Macaca mulatta: one gene and its partners. Each later gene encodes a partner of the first gene's protein in a complex. Links are inferred from orthologs where the notes say so. Each region holds a gene or a part of one and is shown in the gene's direction. Other genes may lie near its edges. The genes, in order: PRKAA2, PRKAB2 and PRKAB1.

What was found.
Region 2: the proteins of PRKAA2 (region 1) and PRKAB2 are in contact, whole or in part, in a crystal structure (PDB 6B2E), measured with the Homo sapiens proteins. The link is inferred for Macaca mulatta from reciprocal best matches to the Homo sapiens genes PRKAA2 and PRKAB2. Residues at the interface, in NP_006243.2 of Homo sapiens: Gly9, Arg10, Val11, Lys12, Ile13, Thr21, Asn48, Arg49, Val58, Gln66, Gln81, Val82, Ile83, Ser84, Thr85, Pro86, Thr87, Asp88, Phe89, Met134, Met164, Ser165, Asp166, Gly167, Glu168, Phe169, Leu189, Ala191, Glu194, Pro253; in NP_005390.1 of Homo sapiens: Val60, Ser61, Gln64, Glu67, Asp68, Ser69, Thr73, Gln74, Ala76, Pro78, Thr79, Val80, Ile81, Arg82, Ile106, Ser108, Val113, Ile115, Val155, Ser158, Asp159, Phe160, Glu161, Phe163, Asp164, Lys167, Leu168, Gln191, Met193, Tyr194.
Region 3: the proteins of PRKAA2 (region 1) and PRKAB1 are in contact, whole or in part, in a crystal structure (PDB 8BIK), measured with the Homo sapiens proteins. The link is inferred for Macaca mulatta from reciprocal best matches to the Homo sapiens genes PRKAA2 and PRKAB1. Residues at the interface, in NP_006243.2 of Homo sapiens: Gly9, Val11, Lys12, Ile13, Thr21, Lys29, Lys31, Asn48, Arg49, Arg53, Asp56, Val58, Ile61, Lys62, Ile65, Gln66, Lys69, Val82, Ile83, Ser84, Thr85, Pro86, Thr87, Asp88, Phe89, Phe90, Met134, Met164, Ser165, Asp166; in NP_006244.2 of Homo sapiens: Pro79, Thr80, Val81, Arg83, Thr106, Ser108, Asn111, Val113, Ile115, Gln154, Val155, Asp159, Phe160, Glu161, Val162, Phe163, Ala165, Leu166, Asp169, Ser170, Lys172, Cys173, Pro186, Tyr187, His188, Gln189, Glu190, Pro191, Tyr192, Ala202.

Annotation. Positions count from the first base shown.
Region 1 is NC_133406.1:183,920,010-183,924,578, reverse strand, and holds part of PRKAA2 (5'-AMP-activated protein kinase catalytic subunit alpha-2), read left to right. Parts: intron 1-1,283; coding exon 1,284-1,788; intron 1,789-3,405; coding exon 3,406-3,532; coding exon of another isoform or gene 3,533-3,588; exon of another isoform or gene 3,589-3,623; intron 3,624-4,569. UniProt on the Homo sapiens protein: Catalytic subunit of AMP-activated protein kinase (AMPK), an energy sensor protein kinase that plays a key role in regulating cellular energy metabolism.
Region 2 is NC_133406.1:118,946,659-118,951,327, forward strand, and holds the start of PRKAB2 (5'-AMP-activated protein kinase subunit beta-2), read left to right. Parts: upstream 1-1,141; 5' UTR 1,142-1,277; intron 1,278-2,445; exon of another isoform or gene 2,446-2,491; intron 2,492-2,751; 5' UTR 2,752-2,774; coding exon 2,775-2,930; intron 2,931-4,669. UniProt on the Homo sapiens protein: Non-catalytic subunit of AMP-activated protein kinase (AMPK), an energy sensor protein kinase that plays a key role in regulating cellular energy metabolism.
Region 3 is NC_133416.1:126,945,784-126,950,452, forward strand, and holds the start of PRKAB1 (5'-AMP-activated protein kinase subunit beta-1), read left to right. Parts: upstream 1-2,012; 5' UTR 2,013-2,302; coding exon 2,303-2,461; intron 2,462-4,669. UniProt on the Homo sapiens protein: Non-catalytic subunit of AMP-activated protein kinase (AMPK), an energy sensor protein kinase that plays a key role in regulating cellular energy metabolism.

The DNA of each region.
Region 1 (4,569 bases):
TTTTTTGTCTCATGGTCTTTGCACATATTGTTTCTTTTGCTGGGAATATCTGTTCCGCAACTCTTTGCATAATTGACTTCAGATCATTCTAGTGTCTGCTTAAATATTACTCAGAGTGGCTTCCTTGATCACTTGCCTCTCGTTGTAAATTATATACTCTCATTTTACTCTATGCAATTTCTTTTGCAATCTTTATCACAGGATTTGCATATTTGTATATTTGTAACTATATTTTATGTATATTTGTTTAATCTCTATTCAGCTAAAATATAATCTTTGTGAGGAATGTTTCTTTTTATCCATAGTATGTCCTCAGTAAATATTCAAAAATAAATTAATCAGTGAATAGAAGACATTCAGTCAAAATATGTCTTCATCTGAACTTACGGGATGCCCAATTCTACCAGGTAGTAATGCCTGAACAATCTCGAAGGAGTAGTTTGTGTTAGATGAAAATAGTTTGATATTCTAGGATAACAATAGTAACATCAAGCGCAAAGGCCCAGAAGTGTGGGAAAATAAGGCTTAGGAGAGCAGTTCTCAAAATTTTTGATTTTAAAATCTTGTAACTCTTAAAACTTATTGAGGACCTCAAGGGGAATTTTTAAAAATGCAGGTTATATCTATCAATATTTACTGTATTAGAATTAAAACTGAGAAATTAAGAAAATATTTAATTTACTTAAAAATAACTATAAACCTACTACATGTTAAATAATACATCTTTCATGAAAAATCACCATATTTTCCAAAAAAAATTGTGAGAAGAATGACTTTATATCAAAGACAGCTAGGTTCTCATACCTTCTTCATTCAATCTGTTGCATTATTTTGTATTAGTTGAAGTGTATAAAGAAGGTCTGACCTCACTCAGATAAGTGGTTGGGAAAGAAAAAAAGTGTATTTATTATTATTAACACCAACTTTATCAGAAAGTCTTTAAGTATTGAGAAGCTGTGAAACTCATACAAATCATACTAAAGTTTTGCTTGAAAGCTTGAATTTTATCATTAGCAACAAATATTGCTGGTTGTTTTCCTTAAAGCGATGGGCTCGCTTTTTTCATTTTTGAGAAAATGTCGGCCAAATGCCAAGTCTTAATAACCATAGTTATTCAAGGGTAGTGGGTAATTAACTTGCTTAGGATCACATAGCTAGTAAGTGGCAGAGCTAGGTCTAGAGACCAGATCTTTTGATTATATTCTATTATGTTGCCCTATGTCTAAATTATTTGGACTTGCCAAAGCGTGTCTTACAATAGTGTATTGTGGTGTTTTTCCTAGAGAGCATGAATGGTTTAAACAAGATTTGCCCAGTTACTTATTTCCTGAAGACCCTTCCTATGATGCTAACGTCATTGATGATGAGGCTGTGAAAGAAGTGTGTGAAAAATTTGAATGTACAGAATCAGAAGTAATGAACAGTTTATATAGTGGTGACCCTCAAGACCAGCTTGCAGTGGCTTATCATCTTATCATTGACAATCGGAGAATAATGAACCAAGCCAGTGAGTTCTACCTCGCCTCTAGTCCTCCGTCTGGTTCTTTTATGGATGATAGTGCCATGCATATTCCCCCAGGCCTGAAGCCTCATCCAGAAAGGATGCCACCTCTTATAGCAGACAGCCCCAAGGCAAGATGTCCATTGGATGCACTGAATACGACTAAGCCCAAATCTTTAGCCGTGAAAAAAGCCAAGTGGCATCTTGGAATCCGAAGTCAGAGCAAACCATATGACATTATGGCTGAAGTTTACCGAGCTATGAAGCAGCTGGATTTTGAATGGAAGGTAGGAAATTATAATGTAATAAGATCATTTGTAGAAGTCATTTTTCTATATTGTAAGCTGCTCTGAGCTCCTGAGTTGAGTATTAAGCCCATCTTTTTCTAGTAATATGCCATGCACATTAAAAACAAAACAAATAACCTCTGTAAGGATGAAAAGTGGTTGATACTGGGAACCAACATATTTTGAATTATAGCAGTGTTCTTGGTCAAGAAAAAAAGGAATCAACTAGAAACCTTCTGAGAAAATAGCTTACCAGTTTCAGCATACATCATAGCAATGAAAAATCATGAGTGTCTTCAAAGATAGTATGTTTTTACTTTCTCTTTTTTTTAGGGAGGTTTTTTTTTTCTTTTCTTTTTAGGGAACAGAGGCAGGTGGTTGTAATAGCTAGTGGTCAGTACAAATTATATCAGGACATATTTATTCAGTCAATTAACACTTTTCTCCAAGTTGTGATATTCTCTCTTATTTGGCTAGTGCTTTTAATACTTATAGTATATTTTCCTTACTCTCACGCCACAGTTTGCTTTTCTTAAAAATTAGTGCTCAATTTCATTTCAGTTCTATTTGAATATATGTGTGGGGAGGGGCATTTTTTTCTTCGGATATGCCTTTCACTCTTGTTCTTTTCTTGAGGATTGTGAACTTTTAAAGGAAGAAGAAAAATGTGCAAAATTACCACATAAATATGCATTTGACATGTTCAAATAAATCAGTCATTTTCATTTTATTATCTGTACATGAAATAAATATTTTCTTAAAATCATTTAAAAAACAGATCTCTTTGTTTTGAAGCAGTCGTATTTAGTTAAAAAAGAAATGTTAACATTTTTAAAATTCTGTACTGAAACATTTTTGAAACTAGTACCACAGATGTTTTGAAAATCCAGAACCTTCAATGCAGTGTTTTTTTGTTTGTTTGTTTTGTTGTTGTTGTTTGTTTGTTTTTTTGAGACAGAGTCTCACTCTATTGCCCAGGCTGGAGTGCAGTGGTGCAGTCTTGGCTCACTGCAACCCAGGGTCAGGCTATCCTCTCACCTCAGCTTCCCTCGTAGCTGGGACTACAGGCGCCTGCCACCACACTCAGCTGATTTTTTTGGTATGCTTTTGTAGAGATGGGGTTTTACCATGTTGCCCAGGCCGGTCTCAAGCTCCTGGGCTCAGGCAGTCCACCCACTTTTGCCTCCCAAAGTGTTGGAATTACAGGCATGAGCCACCATGCCTGGTCCTCTTTGTTCCTTCTACTCCACAAGCATCCATGAACATGGTTCAAGCAGAGACTGGGCAACCAAATTATAATTGATGTTTTAGAGTTGATGCTTATCTAGAGTGAAAGCTAGACCCGATGTAATCTCTGGGTTCTCTTTTTCTTTTATATTTCACTTTTTTCTTCAGTACCCCAAATTTATTCAAGTAGCTTTTCCTTTAAATCTTAATTGCCATACAATACTGCTAGTGGGGATTAAATAAATACTGAAGTAAACTACCAGTAATATAAAAAAATTATTCAGATATTCCTTTCCTATCTCACCCCTATTAATTACTTATTTTGACCTTTTTTTGCATAAAAAGGGAGATATTTTGTAGTTGATTATTTTTATTGATTTTTCACTTTAGGTAGTGAATGCATACCATCTTCGTGTAAGAAGAAAAAATCCAGTGACTGGCAATTACGTGAAAATGAGCTTACAACTTTACCTGGTTGATAACAGGAGCTATCTTTTGGACTTTAAAAGCATTGATGGTAAGGAAGCTATGCATTGCATGAGCTCTGAGAAGATAAAACTTGGCACTAGTTGACCAGATGTTAAAATCATCTCGAAGACATCCGGTGGGTAGGTCATGCACTGGTTTTTAAGTAATCTTAGACTTAACCAAAATGTAAGTGAAGTGAAAAGGATGAAAGACATGTTGAATACCTCTTACCTGGCATCTTTCCACAAGAAGTATCTCCGTGGCATAAAAGAATCATTTGAAGTATTGGCCATGGAGCACAAGTAAGGAACAATAGGGAAGTAGGTTTCACTTTTTAAAATTAACTGATTTGTCAGATTCTTTGTCACATTTCTCCATTCATATTTTATTAGTTAGTATTGTAGTGTCTAAACTTTCCCCTTCATCACCTTTCCTCATCCTGGGTGGCCAGGGTGACCAAATAGGTCTCCATTGGGATTTGGGTTGGATTTAGGTACTCATGGCAATCAAGGAGCCAGAGGCATCAGGGAAAATTGTCATGTCCAAGAACTTAGTGTGTGCTAAGAATTAAACTTGGGTAAACCAAATCTGATTATTCATTTCAGAGGCCCAAGTGGGATAAAACCAGAATAAACTGAGGGTCAGGTGCTGGATGGAACAAAAATGGAACTGAGTTTAGAGTTAGGGAAGTTGTTTTAAACAAAGTATTTAAATTTTACTCTTGAACTACCATCAAATATGTACGGTAGTGTTTATATGGATCCCAGACCTCTTTCATCGAAATTACATGTTGTTATTAAAACACAGATCCCTGTGTTTTGGTCCTGGGAATCGTAGAATCTGCAGTTTTAACAAGATTTCTCTCACTTTGCCCCCCACTTCCCCAAGGCAATATATGATGGTAACTTTTATTTTTACCTTAATGATTTTTTTTGTTGATATGCTAGAAGAAAATAAGTTGTCAAGGATACGCTTTCTTCACATGAAGAGATATCAGTTTGATTGATGCCAGTATCAATGCCCAATACTCCGATTTGAGAAGGACTTAGAGGCCACATTTTGGCTGTGTGCACGTGTTGTGATTGG
Region 2 (4,669 bases), about 65 Mb from region 1:
CGGGAGGCGGAGCTTACAGTGAGCCGAGATCGCGCCACTGCACTCCAGCCTGGGCTGGGCGACAGAGGGAGACTCCGTCTCAAAAAAAAAAAAAAAAAAAGAAAGAAGAGCATTGGGGTGACAGCAATAAATCTAAAGGGAACAATTATACTGATACTGGTTAAGAAGATCTTGTATCTTTACCTACTTATTCCTGAATCTAAGAAAAAAAAAGGAATTTGGGACTAAGGAGAATTCATTCTTCCTACAGTGTCATATTACATTTGTTCTGTGTCTAAAACATGCAATATTCAAAATTGACTTTTATTATTAACTGTTGAGTAACTTACAAATGTTGTTAGAGCAGAGCAGGGCAGAACAGTGTCATGGATAATCTTCCAAAGGAGATAATACAAAAGTCATTTCCATTTAGCTGTGTAAAAACAGTTTATTTCTCTCCTTCAGTTTTCCATTGGCTAACATAGTTAGTTTGTTTCTGCTAAGCTGATTTCACTACTGCAAGGAAATACATACCAAGGACATATTATTTGGCATGGTGAAACCACCTTGGGGTCAGAAAACTGAATACTACACAAGTCAAGGTTTAATGTATCACACCTTGAAGGGCCTTGCTTCAGTGTCCTATGGTAAGGAATTGAGGGGTGGAGGGAGAAAGGTAGGGATAACCAAAAAGAATGTACTCAGACAGTAAAGATTTCAGAGGGGTGAGCAAGAAGTTGCAGTAAAATCGTACCTTTTTTTTTTCCTTCCTGTAAACTGTCTTCGGTTTATGAGCCAAAGAATGAGTTTATAAGGGGCAGAGCAAAGAATGGGGGAGTAGTGAATTTGTTGTACTTAAGTGGGCTGTCAACTTCATAATATAAAAATGAACTTTTCAACAAATAGAGCTGCTCACTCAGAAAGGGTGGCCTATGTAACTTGGGGTTCTCCATCATTGGCCGTGTTTAAGCCTAAGTGGCATATCTTGATAGAAATGGATTACAGTAAACAGTATTCCTGTATCCTTCATTCCGCAAATACAAAAGCCTGCTCTGTACAAGGTACATGCAGAATATGAAAAGGTATCAAATCTGGATCTGCTCTCTGCCAGCTGTCAAAGCATTGCTTCTCACACACGTTAATGTGATCTTGTTAAAATGCAGATTCTGAACCCTGGGGATGGGGCCTGATTCTACATTTCTAACAGGCTCCCAGGTGATGCCAACGCTGCTGGTCTGTGTAACACAGATAAACGTTTCTAGTAGAGAAGGCGACATGCAAATACTTCTAATACAAAGGTAAGTACCTTAGGGATTCCACTAATTTTCATAAAAAACCTGGATCCCTCCCAACCCTACGACTGTCTTTGCCTTTTTTATACCTTTAGGGTTCCTTCTGATGTTTTCGTTGTCGCCATCTTCCTTGAATTTTATTTCTTCTGAGGTTTCTCACTGCATATGCTGTTTCTTAGACTAGGAAAGCCTTTTCGTTATTCTCCTAAGACTAACATTTTACTAATTTGTCAAGGTCTAGCTCCTAAATACGCCATCTTGAATTTTCCCTGCGACCCCAGTCGGGCTGACAGCTCCTTCCTTGTCGCTCCCTATTGAGCAGGTTTTTCTTGTGGGGGGGGGGCGGGGAGGCGGAGGGACGGAGTGTCGCTCGGTCGCCAGGCTGGAGTGCAGTGGCGCGATCTCGGCTCACTGCAACCTCCACCTCCCGGGTTCAAGCTATTCTCCTGCCTCATCCTCCCCAGTAGCTGAGACTTCCGGCGCGCGCCACCACGCCCAGCTAATTTTTGTACTTTTAGTAGAGACCAGGTTTCAACTTGTTGGCCAGGATGGTCTTGATCTCCTGATCTCGTGATCCGCTCGCCTAGGCCTCCCAAAGTGCCGGGATTACAGGCGTGAGCCACCGCGCCCGGCCAGAACAGTTTTAACCTCCAGCAATGGCCATTGCTTCCTTCTGCCTGCAGTTGGAAGTCAGTTTCAGTTTTCTTATTCCCTGTAAGGAACCCCCCTCTCCCGTCGCCTAACACACAGATGCTGCCCAGAAAACGTGCTGGCGCACCTGAGGCGGGGTAGAAAGCCGCGTCGCTTCTCCCGGCACCGAGCGCCGGAGCCCAGGGAGGCGGCCTCCGAGTGTCCTGTGGGAACGTCCCTTCCGCCGGGTAGTCTCAGAGGCCCAGCGCTCCAATTATCCCGGGTGCAGTCTCCCCAGGCGGCACAAGCCCTGCCTGGCGCCCCCTCCTGGCGCTGGAGGCTGCGTGCGACTGCCCACCATCGAGGCGGCGGCGGCTAGAGAGGCCGGCGGGCCCGGGACGCCGAGGCTGCAGGCCGCAGGGAACGCGCACGGGGCCGACTCCGCGCCGCCGGCCTTGTAGCCATTTTAGGAGGAATCGCTGATCGCCAGCGAGGGGTGCGGCTTCAATTTCAATAACTTTATTGGTGGCCTGATCTGCAGAACAGTCATCACTTCAGTGGTCCCTGGAGGAGGGAGCGCATCGCCCGAGGTGACTGGCGTGGGGGCGCCCCTGGCAGTGAGCGCGGGGACGCGGGGGAGTCCCGATAGCGGGTTTCCTGACTAGGGGCAGCGAGGGCACCGGGGTATTTGCAGGCATTCCCGCAGGCCAGGAGGGAGAAGGCTCCGGGGCTTGGCCTCCCTGGGGCGGGGAAATCCCTTGCCCCGTCCCAAGGCGTATGGGCGGGGCCGGGGGGCGCCCCTGACGCGGCTACTGAGGTGTTCCCAGCCCGGTGTGGTTCTCCGCGGTAGGTGGTCCCCGACGAGCTGCAGCCATGGGAAACACCACCAGCGACCGGGTGTCCGGGGAGCGCCACGGTGCCAAGGCTGCACGCTCCGAGGGCGCAGGCGGTCATGCCCCGGGGAAGGAGCACAAGATCATGGTGGGCAGTACGGACGACCCCAGCGTGTTCAGCCTCCCCGACTCCAAGGTAAGCGTCCCACGCCCGCAGTTGGTGGCAGTACTGCAGCGGGTTGATTTCCGGGCTCCTCTTCCCTTTCTTGGTTCTTTTCTGCCGCGCCGAACCGGGCTATGGTTTTTTGAATTAAAAGGATTTTTCGGGGACAGAGGTGTTGGATGGTAATCCCTCTTGCAGTGCCGCCTCAAAATAGGATAAAGAGGCGGAGTTCTTGTTTTCCTGGTGTTCTGACTAATCTGTTGGCCACATTTTTAGGATGGGGACAATAGACATCCCCGATCCTTGGTTCTTCCTAACATGCACGAGTGGCTCTCCTCTATAGCGTTGCTGAATTTGTAGTTTGTTAGCCCTGGTGGACAACTTCAGAGGGTAGGTTGCACGAGTTGCTGACCATAGGTGGTAGTTTCTCACCTTTGCCCTGAGGTGGCTACATGAAATTCTTTTTCTGAAAATTTCTATGTATCAGTATCATTTTTGCCCTTCTAGCAGCTCTGCACTTGTGATCTTCTTCCCTTTTGGCACGGCTGTAAGCAGCAACTACTTGCTTATTGAATACTTTCCCCTAGTCTTGGGGATCAATTAAGGACATCATTTGGTTGACTGCTTAATTTTTGTCCCATACTTTATAGTTGTGGTGGCTGAGGCTGTGCCTCTTTCACGCCCCGCTGCTGCTCCGCAGGTGGAAGAGCCAATGATTCCACGACTTGTTTACTCTCCAGTAGTACTTCAAAATGTTGCGTGGCTAAAAAGCGACAATCCATAGCTGCCTTGAAGACCTTGCTCTCAATTCCAAGGACTTTCAGGAAGAGCCAACTTGTTTTTTCACTCTGTAAGAAAGGACAGATGGAGCTGATAGCAGCGATTACCATTCTAATGTTTCTAATCGCTTTTAGAGCTGTCAGCATGAAATACATGTAGTTTCTCCAGGTAGACTGACTGGATGAGATAGAAAAATGGAGGGCTTGAGGAGATTGGGGTGTGTTTGATGTTTCCTATCATTTCGTCACTTCCCAGGGAACTGGGGCTTTAGAGAGTGAATAGAGTATTATTTGTCATATTGGTAGCACGTGGAATTTGGATTCCATGATTTATTTCCTTGGATCTCAATTGATAACATCGTCACAGCCGGGCGCGGTGGATCACGCCTGTAATCACAGCACTTTGGGAGGCCGAGGCCGTTGGATCATTTGAGGTCAGGAGTTCGAGACCAGCTTGACCAACATGGTGAAACCCGGTCTCTACTAAAAATACAAAAAAATTAGCTGGGCGTGGTGGTGCATGCCTGTAGTCCCAGCTACTCGGGAGGCTGAGGCAGGAGAATCGCTTGAACCTGGGAGGTGGTGGCTGCAGTGAGTGGAGATCCAGTCACTGCACTCCAGCCTGGGCCACAGAGTGAGACTGTCTCAAAAGAAAAAAAAAAAAAAAAAAAACCATAATCACAGAGAAGTGAGAGTGATTAAAAGGAGCACTTATTGGTGTTTATTCTCCATTCTTATTTGGGCTATCTACAAGCCATCTGAATTTACTTATTCAAAGCTTTCGAAAGATGATCTGCCTCATTATATTTTTACCCTTTTCCTACGCTGATGACTCAGGATTTAAATACAGTGTATTTGTTGAACTGTGACTGCAGTAATTGGTGTCCTGATTAAAAGCCAGGTTGCTCTGTCTGAACTGGGGCCTATTTTGTATTATTCTTATCTCTCACATCAGTCTTGGCATTTGTGAATTAAGAAAATTATTCATATAAT
Region 3 (4,669 bases), on another chromosome or scaffold:
CTTAGCTTATTTAATTCAGCAAGCACATTCAACATTTCTGATTATATTGAGTAAATTCAAATTCTCAGTCATCAGGTCCAGGAAGACCCTCCTGGCTCCCCTCCCTTTTCCTGGTCTGGCTTAAGTCCCTTCTGGGCTCCCACAAAATCTCTTAGCTATCTATATTATTGCTTTTCTGTGGGTCTGTGCCAGCCTGTACTATATTAATTCCTTTGGGGCTGGAACCATATCTTATTTTTTTTATTAAAAAGTAGTACATCCTCACAGTAGAAAATTTTTCAAATACAGACCTATATAAATGAAAAAGTGAAAGTCCCTTTTCTGTCTACTCCTATTTGCAATCTCCCTCCTCTCCCCAGAGAAGACCACTATTAACAATGTGTTGTATACCCTTCCAGAAGTTTCCATTTGCAAGCCTAATAGTGCCAATAAAAGTGCTAACAGGTATTGAGTGTTTACTAAGAGTCAAGTGCTATGCTAAGCATTTTTATGCACGTTCCAATTAATTCACAAAACAAGCCTATAAAGTAGGTGTTATTTTTATTCCCATTTCACAAAAGAGACTAAGGTAACAGTTACTAAATGGTAAAGCCAGAATCTGACCCGGGCAGGCTGAATTCAGAGCTCACGCTCTTGAACATGTTCTCTCACTTGCTCCTGGACCTTGCAATATCATAGACACTTCCCCATAGTGACCGAAAAATTGTTTCTTCCTTTTTAAAAGTTGCTTGGTATTCTACAAAATGAATGTATTCCGTTCATTTTGCCATTCTTCTACTGAACAACTTTTAGGATTTTGTAGTTTTTCATTTCCTTATTTCACCAAGTCTATGATTCCATTGATTGTAAAAAGCATCCAATTTCAGAAACTAAAATATATGGGGATATGGTGGGTGACAGGTGCATCTTAGAATATATTTTTGCATGTAAATATTTTGTAAATAATGCTTGTAAATAATTTTCATGTGTGTATTTCTGCAGAAGTTTCCTAGGAGTAAAATTGTGTGTCAAAATGAAGGTGCATTTTTTAATTTTGATGCATACTGCCGAATTCTCTCCAAGAAACCTTATCTTAGTAATCTTGTGTTCCTCATTTCCTTAGCACAATGTCTGGTAATTTTTTAGGTACTAAATAATGTTCAGTATGTGAAATGCATGACCTGACCTGGCAAATGCAAAGTATTTTGAGATATTCACACACCATAAAACCCACAAAATATGACAATGACTGACAGTGAGAAGATGAGAATATTTTACTACCGTATTTGTATGCACTTCTTGTTGAAGCACTGGCCAGAGTAAATGACAAACGCTAATGCATCTTATGCAAAAGGATGTTGCAGAAGTGATTACAAGATATCTTGCAAAATTACCTATCAAAAGATTGCACACTCAATAAAAATACACTAATAACTCCAGCATTTTACAACCCCCAACCTACTAGACATAAAAAATTTCCAGAGATCTTATGGTCTGCCATTTTCTCAAATACCTGCAAGACTGCCTGCACCCCCGACTCTAATCTTCAGAAATCTTGATTCTCTGCAGGTCTGCAGTGCGGGCTGCATTTAACAAGCGCTCCAGGTTAATCTAATGCACTGTAAAGCGTGAGAGCACGTGCACTAAAAGGGCTTTAAGAAGAGGAGTTCCTGAATCAGATTTGCATTTTAGAAAGATCCCTCTGGCTGTAGAGTGTAGAATCAACTAAAAATGGGCAAATATATCTAAATGGCATTATTCAGCCCAGCGCTTGAACGGCTCAGGTTGCCGGCGCCCTGGGGTGCCCCCTGCCGGCACTCGGCAGCGCCTGGTCCCGGGCCGGGCCCTGAGCGGCCGGCTGCCGACTGCGACTGCGCGCTCTGAGACCTGCAGAGACAGCCTCGGGGCACCTGTTACCGCACCGCTCAAGACCGGAAGCGGAAATGGAATCTAGATAGCCTCGCGCGTTTAGCCGGCCGCCGCCACTACCACGCCCTAGGCCGGGCCGACTTAAGGAGTAGCCGGAAGCGGAAGTCGCTGAGGGGTGGTGGAGCGGTTGGGAAAGTGTCGGTTTATTTTCGCGCTCCTTGTGTTCTCGCCACAGCTTGCCTGGGCAGGTAAAGCGCGATTGCGAGAACTCGGCAACGCTGCTGACTCGGCTAGAACCGGCTCCCGGCCCGAGCCCGAGGGGCGTGGTATCCCGGTGCTCCGATTCCCTTCCGCAGGCTCCTTGGGACCCGCGGTTCTGGGAGTCCCTTGCACAGGGTCCCTTTCCTGCAGTGAGGCTCCGTCCGGCTTCCCAGTGTCCCCGCAGACCCTCATCATGGGCAACACGAGCAGTGAGCGCGCCGCGCTGGAGCGGCATGGTGGCCATAAGACGCCCCGGAGGGACAGCTCGGGGGGCACCAAGGACGGGGACAGGCCCAAGATCCTGATGGACAGCCCCGAAGACGCCGACCTCTTCCACTCCGAGGAAATCAAGGTGCGAGCAGTGTGCAGGAATCCGATTCCCCTTGACTAATGTTGAGGAGAGAAACCCTCCACTAGATTACCGTCACATCTTTTCGAAAACCACCAGAACGGGGAGGGAGGTGGTACATTACCCGGTGCACTTAAAAGCCAGATGGTCCTGTAAGAGTCCTCTTAGCGGTCCAAGAACCTAAGTCTAATTACCAATATGAGAAAGTCACCCTGAGGGAGGAGGCACTCACTTCGTTTAACAGCATTAAGGAGAAAGCAGCTCTGGGACAGTTTCAAATTCTTAATTAATTCAGAGTCAGCTAACAGTAATTGAACCTAGCTTCTGCTTTTCTTAGGTGTAATTAATTTCACCGCTTTGAGACAAATTCTCTCACCTTTACACAAACTGGAACTTTTGTAAAAGTTAGTTTGGGAGTTTATTATCCATTTTGGAGGCAAACCAGGTACATATACAAGCTGAAAGTTGAGCGGAACAGCTGACGGCGGTTGCCAGAGGTGTTTAGTTCTGCCCAACACTTGATTCGCCCTAGTTATTTTTATTTATTTATTTATTTTTTTAATTTTTTTTGAGACAGAGTCTCGCTCTCTTGCCCAGGCTGGAGGGTAGAACCACAATCTCGGCGCACTGCAACCTTCGTCTCCTGGGCTCAAGCCATCCTGCCTCAGCCTCCCGAGTAGCTGGGACTACAGGTGTGAGCCACCATGCCCGGCTAATTTTGTGTATTTTTGGTAGAGGTGGGGTGTCACCATGTTGCCCAGGTTAGTCTTGAACTCCTGACCTCAAGCGATCCGCCCGCGTGGGCCGCTCAAAGTGCTGGGATTACAGGCATGAGCCACCACTCCCAGCCTCACCCTGCTTTTTTTTTTTTTTTTAAAGCGTACATAGAAAAGTCTTTGGACTTACAGAGGTCAGTGGGTAATGAGGGTCTGTTGGAAGGAGGCAGCCAGCAGCCACTGAACTTCCCTCTAGTGTTGTTTAAATATGACTTAATCGCGCTGAAGTAGGCCAGTGCAAACATTTTTCTTCCTGCTGCAGCCTGTTTAAATTCATCAAAAGCTCAGGTGATTTGACTCCTGCTTCAGCCACACTCCTGTTAACCACCTTCATATGGTGGATATTTCCAGCCTCAGGGTTCAGTCCAAGGACATTTAATGGTATTTATGTGTTATGTCCGAAAGGAACTAATTGTTTCAAGGAACAAAGTAGGTTTGGGAAAGATAAAGCTGCCCTCTGCCCAACATACCTATTAGTATCCAATTTCATGTTAATCATCATCCATTTAATTGCCTGGCAACTCATTCCATCTGTGTTTGTCCTCATGTTGAGCGAGGTGATCACATCTCACACCTTCTTTTGGATCTGTTTTGAGCCTAACTACAAGAAGCCTGCTTTTATGTGGGCCTGCAACCTGTGGTTTGAACTTGCTTTCTGAATTTGTTGCATTCTTGAAGAGCTGTGTGCAAAGTGAACTTTAGAATCATGTTTCTCTAATGACGTCCTTTCCCCAGGAAGTAATTTTGGTCCCTGGTCCCAAGAAGGCTATTTAAGACACCAAAAGAATCAAACTACTTTGGTGTCTTTCTTCACCAAAGAAAGAACTACTTTCTTCAAGAAGTATTTGTTCTTTTACTATTCCAAAACACCTCCAGCAAATGTTGAGCACACACATAATCTATGGGGAATGATTTCAAGCAGCGTCCATTCTCACTTCATTAGAAGTTACTGAAATCCCCAGATACCAAAAAAGTCGTGAATTCTTTTAATTACACTAGTGCGCTATTTTGGGTATAGTTATTCTTAGTGTGAAGTGATTCCAGTCTGTTATTTAATATGTAGATCTTGTTAGAATTCAGCGAATGCAGGCATCATTTGGATAAGCTGAGGTATTTGAAAGGAAGGGGCTGGAAGCCTGCTTAACTCCCTAAAGAGTCTTCCAGCCAGAACCCTCTGCTCTTTTTAAGTCTTTGGCTCCTGACTAGGAAAAAATCTAAAAGGTGCATGACTACATATGTCATCCAGGTAGAGTTGGATGAGTTTCTTATTCTGGAATACCTCAGTTATACGGAACTTACCACACGAGGTTATCCTTTATCCTAATGAGGGTTCAGTCTTTGTCTTGCTTTATTCCCCAGTCCCTAGACAGAACTTTGTGAGCAGTTTTTCCCCATCCTCAAAATCTGAATTTGCCCATTTTCAGGTTGACAGCTC